Mus musculus: one gene and its partner. The protein of the gene in region 2 purifies or fractionates together with the protein of the main gene of each other region. This does not show direct contact. Links are inferred from orthologs where the notes say so. Each region holds a gene or a part of one and is shown on either strand. Other genes may lie near its edges. The genes, in order: Capzb and Plekho1.

Region 1 (3,914 bases), on a different chromosome or scaffold from region 2:
AGCTATGGTCCTCTTCATTCATTACCTAGGATGCAGCCCCACTCTGCCACTTCTGGTTTGCCCAAACTACCCACATTAGGGCATCAGATTATACTAGCATAGTAGGCAGTCAGAAAACATTTAGGAGGTTGGGGTACATGAAGAACAAGTTAACGAGTGTCAAACCTGGGTGGCTGCGCTCACAGACCATCCCAGATCACACTAAGCAATCTCCTGTCTCACCCTCACTGTTGCCCAAGCTGGCCTTGAATGCCTTAAACAGCTGAGACTGCAGGTATGTGGCACCACGCCCAGCCTTCCACGACAGATCTTTCAGAGTTAGGTACTGTTCTAGGACCAGATAGACAGGGGCAGAAAACACAAGACCAACATCTCTGTCCCCTAAGAGCTCGGGGATCAGGCCCATAGGCTATGCTCCTGTCTCAAAATGGCCATTTCCTAACAGGAGAGCCACCCAGAGTCTGCAGAGGTAAGCACTTGCTCTCCCTGGCTGGGCCTGAGCATCCATCCCATCATTATGGTTCTTCAACAGTGTCATTATATCAGACACACAACAGCAGACAAGGAAGACCGCAGTCTGGAGGCTGCTAGGCAGGCTCCCACTGGCCAAGAGTGCTCTCCACACAGATGCAACAACATTTTGAATGAGTTACAATGAATGCCCCAGCTTTTCTTCACCTGTCAGATGGACAAAGCGAAAGCCTAGATGATTCTGTGGAGACTAAGTCCCATCTGGCCACTCCACCACCCTCTCCTGCTTTGGTGCTGGGAGTACACACAGAAAACTTCAGTCTACTTTGAAGAATCTCACCCAAAACTGTCCTGGACAAGTCCTTTCCCCCTGCAGACTAAGGTCAGGGGTTCAGACCCCCAGGCCCGTTTCCAGCCAAGAGCAATAACATGAAAACCTGTCTTGCCTATGCTTTTAATCAATATATAGAAAGTTTACTAGCCAATCAGACTTAGTCATCCCCAATACAGTTGCTGCACCCTTGCTAAAACAAGGCACAGGGTACCTCAAAACCATCTAGGGTCCAAAATCCCCTCCTAAATATCGACCAGGCAGGAGGGGAGCCACCTGTAAGGCTACACGGAGCAGGTGGGTTGCCTTCCCTCTCAGCCTACCTTACAAGGCTTCCTTGACCATGTGAGGTAGTTCTCTGGCCCTTCCACCACCAAAGATGGTGGGCCTGCTCTGCAGGTATCCAGGTAGATTAGGGGGTGCAGGGGTATGGGGGAGGAGGGAAGTGACACATCTAAGGCTCCTCAAATAAGTTGCTAGCATAGTGTGCCTGTCTTCATTACCAAAACAAACACCATGAGTGGAGTCCGGGAGCTCTCCGGCCTGTGAGTTTCTGCTCACCTGCTCCGAGGCACCTCCATAATCAGCAGTCCCAACTCTAACAAGCTGACAGTTCAGGGGGAAAGGAAGGCTGCGCCTGCTAGGATGCATCGTGTCCAGGCCGTAGGTTGGGCTGCTGAGCTCCGTGTCCCCCTAGCCCCAGGGCTGCGGCCTCACAAGAGCAATTGTGAGTTCACCCCTGTCCAGTTGGCTTACCAACCCGTCAGCACTCTGCTCCCCACTCAGGCAGGGCACCCCTCAAGACGCGCTCTATTAGCCGCACTACCACTAGGCCCTCCCAAGGGAAATGCCCTGTTCTGCCTTCCGGGCATACAGATGCCGCCCTTCTCTCCCTCGCTCGCCTGCTCACTCACACCGAAGCGGCCTCCCCAGAAAGGGGCAAACCTAGGAAAGGCTCAGTACCCAGACCACCCCCACCCTGGCTGGGGCTCTCCCCCGCTCGCCAGAGGCTGCCCAGAAAGAGCCTCCTAGGAACAGGAGAGGGGACACCTGGGTCAGGAGCAGGACACGGAACAAGCAGGGTCTAGATGGGAGGGTGAGAGCAGCGAAGGGCTGACGCAGGCTAGGCTAAGTCGTGAGAAGTCGGGGGAAGGGGACGGCTAGGGCCGGGGACAGGGAGGTGCAGGGAGGGGGGGAACACAGCTGGAGTAGAGAGGCCACACTTGAGGACCGACCGCAGAGAGAAGATTCCATGACGGTGAAGGAAACAAACCTAGGCAGAGTTCACTGGAAAGGGCTTATCGGGGTGCAGACTGGGGCCATGGAGAGGAGAAGAGTTTGGGGGAAGGGGACCTAGACTGGACCACTGGAGCGAGAACCACGGTCCTAGCCTGGGCCCTGGGGCCGAGGCAGGAGCCCAAGTACAGCCCATGGGATGAAGGCCTGCGAGAGGGGTGCCCGGCCTGGCCCCTGAAGGAAGGAAGGTCTAGCCTGGGATAGGCGAGACTAGCCTGGACTTGCAGGGAGAAGAACTGGGCTCCACATGGAGCCCAGGGCGGGGTCATAGGCTATCAGGGCCTCCCGCCGCCCACTCCGGACCCGAAGAGTGGCGTCTGCCTAGGGTCCGGGACCCCGCCCCTCCCCCACCCCGGATCCCCACCCTTCCCGGGCCGGGCGGGTCGGCGAAGGAGTGGACGCGAGCTCCGGCGGTGAGAGGGGTCCCGGGATGGAGCCGTGAAGGGGTCCCTTTACCATGGTGGCGGCGGCGGCGACGGTCCCTGTCCCGGCGTCTGTGGCTCTCCCCCCCGCAGCAGGGCCCTGCGCTTCCACTTCCCCGGGTGCCCAAGAGTGAACATCCGGGTCAGCGCCCCCCTCCCCCCCCCACCCCCCCGCGCCGGGCAGCCACCACCTTCCTTCCCCGCCCCGGCCAGCCCGACCCGCCCCCCAGCCGCCAGCTCCCGACCAATGAGAGCGCGGGGCCGCAGCGATCGCCAAGTATGGAGCGCCGCGCGGGGGGCGGGGACGGGGGCAGGCCCTGTGGTCGAGTGGGCGTGTCCTGTCTCAGGAGGGGCGGGCCAGGCGCAACGCTCCTGCGCGGCCAGGGCTGTGGCGTTCCGGAGGGACTGGGTCTACTTGCGTCCCTCCTCTGACTGTCAGCCTCGCTTCTCGCAGCTGCAGGACGCGGGCTAGCTGAGGGTGGAGCGGTTCACTGGTTCCCCTGGGCGGAGGATGCGGAAGGCGCCGAAACTAGGAGGGGACCGGCCCTCCGCAACCCACCCGGACCCGGAACTGGTGCGCCGGACGAGGCCCGGCCCCTACAGAGCGAGCGGAACCTGCATGGGGAAGCCGGCTCTGCCGCCCCTGTTGCTGAACACCTGCTATCAGGACCAGGCGGGCAGCTTTTAGGTACCAAAAGATGACAAGTGAATAAGCCATAAGGATCCCTGCCTGCACTTCATAGCTACCAGAGTAGTTGTGGGAAAGACCCGGGTAAGAAGACTAGAACATTTGGGTTCAATAAATGCTGTTTCATATACTTTTTTACATTATGTACAGAGAATCAGCCCGTTTCCCTAAATGAGTATCTCTCTCGAATCATATAGTGACTCAGAAATCCCTCTTTGTTTTCAGGTCTGAAGATTGAACGTAGAGCCTCAGGCAGGCTAGGCTAAGCTCTTCCACTTAACTGCAGCCCCAACCAGAAATTTGCTGTTCAAAAGAGTGAATTTTGTTTTGTTATCTAGAACTCAGGAGCCCTAGAATTGCACGTTTTGTTTATAACAACCCCCTACACGGCTTGCTCACCCTCCGTTTAGAGTCATATCAGGTCCTGAGAAGAGATCAGAAAACATCTGAGGGGAAACTGTGCCCTAGGCCTCTGAGCTTATAGTCAAGTGAAAGCTTGCAGGGACAGCCACCAGCAAAGAAAGCGTCCAGGTAAGTCTCTCAAGAATGACATAGACCAATATTACAGGAGTTCAGAGAAGGGAGTGGCACTTAGAAGGTCATTACACCGGAAGTATTTATCATGTAGCTATTGGCCAAGCACTGTGTAGGAAGCAGGCTGGAGAAATTACAGCTTTGAGCAAAATAGCCCATGATGGCATATGGC
Region 2 (2,570 bases):
CTTCTGCTTTTCACTGTCCTAGGGGTATTTCTCATTTCCTCAGAAGTTTTTGAGAACAGAGATGTCTGACTTGTGCTACGTGCTGACTAAGTAATTTTGGTTTAGAGGCATCAGACAGGGACGCAGGGTGGAGAGGTCTCCCGAGCCTTTGATCCCAACAGTGCTCCTGCTCATACACAGCTGACGGACCAGCCCAGAACTGGCCCCTGGGCAGTGCTTACTCTCTTGCAGTTTTACATACCACAGCCATGAGGTGTCCCCGGGTTGGAGGACGGCGGGAGTGTTGGATTTTTGCTCTGTCTCGAGTAGGGTGGGCAAGATAGCTGTCCTCCTCAACGGTGACCTGAAGAGATGCACTGTGAGTCACAGGGCTTCTTTAGGACTTTGTCCCAACTGAGTTTGGCAAACCCTAACTCGCCTGGACTGGGAAGCAGGCCATTCCACCACTTGCTTCTGAGCAGGGTATAGGCACAAGGATTTACTGACCCAACTGACCCAGGACTAGATTAAGCGTTGTGAAGTGGGTGTGGGGTTCGAATCAGCAGAGAAAAGGCTTAAGAGAGAAAAGGGGTGGGGGTGGGGGAATGACACAACAGGGCCTTTAAAGAAGCTGAGAACAGTCAGGACTTAGTGGCACACTCCTATAATTCCAACACTTGGGAGGCAGAGGCAGTTGGATCTGCTAGTCTGGTCTACAGAGTGAGTTCCAGGACAGCCAGGGCTACACAAAGAAACCCTGTCTCAAAAAAACTGGGAAAAAAAAGGCCAAGAAACTGATCTGGGTGAAACTAAAGGGACCCCACAAAGCACCCCTCCTCATCTAGTGAGCCACAGCCTGCTTTCCGCCCTAGTACCCCATCGCTGCCCCACAGCAAGCCCCTGACCTCATCCAAGATACGGTTTTTAGCTCTGGTAATGGCAGAACTCAGGGCGTTGATCCATGACTCCTTCTCTTCAGGACTCACGGCCAGGAAGATGAGGTTGGGTGCCTGTGAGGGGAATGTTCTTGTCTTAGCTAGGGCATTACAAATACATTATACCCACCCCCTGAAATAATCCTCTCACTCCCTCACACCCCGCTCCCGGAAGGGAGACCCTGCTTCTGGGATGATCAGTGACGGAAGGAACCCAGAGTCTGTTCCTGCAGAACGCACGGGTTGTTTTAGCAAAGATGGGTGTGGAGGTGGGGCTAAGAAAGTGACACTGGGGACAACTAGGGGAGGTGTGAATGCACTTAGATCTTTAAACGTCTGAGGACACGGGGTGTGACAACCATGGCTTCCCTTGAACTTCAGACACCCATCAGGGAAGAAGCACCAATAATGTTTCTCCCAAGAGAATATGTACATACACACAGTAGGGATGTGTGTGTGTGTGTGTGTGTGTGTGTGTGTGTGTGAGTGGGGGAGGGGAGAGGAAGGGGTGGGGAGAGAGAGACTTCTTTATGGCTAAATAGGTTATAGGCTGGCCTGCCCAGAGGAAGGGAAATGGTCAGAATATTTTCCAGTTAAATAATAAAAGCCAGAGGGAAAATAATTATGGCCCCTGCAGCTAGGGCCACAGCGAGGGCGAGCCTACCGTGGTGCCCGGCTGTCTGCACCGGGCCAGGGTGAACTTGCTGTGATTTTTCTTGCTCCTGCTCTTGGATTTCCGGAGCTCTTCGCACTTCTCATAGTCACTCAGGTCAAACACCTCCTGACTGTTTTTCTCATCTTTTACCTATGAGAGGGTGGGGTGTCATGAGGATAAAATTACTCTTTCTCTCCTCCAGAAGAAAGTGGAGCAAGAAGGACAGCAGGAAGCCAGCCCACCTAAGGTGTGTACTGGGGGGTGGGACTGAGACCTGAGTCCCTGTATGGTGGTCTGTTTAACCCACTCCCCCCAAGCTACCGTCCCCGTGCCTCCCTCTGCCCATGACCCTCTGTCTCTGAAGGACGCAGCTTACAAGTCCTTAAAGGGGCATGTCCTTAAAGGGACATGGTGAATGGACTGCTCTGATCATTCCAAGTAAGGAAGACAAGAGTGACCACTAACGTCCAGGGGAAGGGGAAAGGCAGCCAACATCTGGAAGGGACAAAGGGCAACATCTGGAAGGGACAAAGGGCTGCCTCTGGCCTCAGGGAGTGAGTACGATGGTTCCGAGTGTTCTTTCCACCTGCTCTCTTCTATCGTAGGATGTTACAGGAGACTACTTCCTGACAGCAGGCTATCCCTCTCTTCCACCTGGTTGGGGATATCCCAGGAATGAGCTGGTCATGTCTCCCTGGGAAACAGTTGAAACCAAGCGAACGTGTATAAGAAGGCTCAGCCCGTGGCCGATCTGCCCATCCTTCTGAATTGCTGAGCACATGTGCTGAGGAGGAACGTGGGGAAAATTCATCTATTGCCATTTGCCTGGCAAGGTTTGGCTCCCCAGGGCTCTCCCCTTTCTAGGGCTCCCTGCTTTTTGACTGGGAAGAGGGCCTTAAACACTCTGGAGAATCACTCCAGAGAGATTCACAGCAACACAGTCTGGAATGTGGGATGATACAGCAACCTCCTCTCCTGTGCCTTTCCCAGAGAAACTATCA

Evidence for each region.
Region 1: the proteins of Plekho1 (region 2) and Capzb purify together in Homo sapiens (co-immunoprecipitation; 3 studies listed by BioGRID and IntAct, counting the BioPlex papers as one, with this or other methods). This does not show direct contact. The link is inferred for Mus musculus from reciprocal best matches to the Homo sapiens genes PLEKHO1 and CAPZB.

What each region holds. Positions count from the first base shown.
Region 1 is NC_000070.6:139,191,669-139,195,582, reverse strand, and holds the start of Capzb (F-actin-capping protein subunit beta), read right to left. Parts: upstream 2,685-3,914; 5' UTR 2,558-2,684; coding exon 2,555-2,557; intron 1,583-2,554; exon of another isoform or gene 1,454-1,582; coding exon of another isoform or gene 1,364-1,453; intron 1-1,363. UniProt on the Homo sapiens protein: F-actin-capping proteins bind in a Ca(2+)-independent manner to the fast growing ends of actin filaments (barbed end) thereby blocking the exchange of subunits at these ends.
Region 2 is NC_000069.6:95,990,560-95,993,129, forward strand, and holds part of Plekho1 (pleckstrin homology domain-containing family O member 1), read right to left. Parts: intron 1,720-2,570; coding exon 1,579-1,719; intron 990-1,578; coding exon 885-989; intron 357-884; coding exon of another isoform or gene 344-356; coding exon 242-343; intron 1-241. UniProt on the Homo sapiens protein: Plays a role in the regulation of the actin cytoskeleton through its interactions with actin capping protein (CP).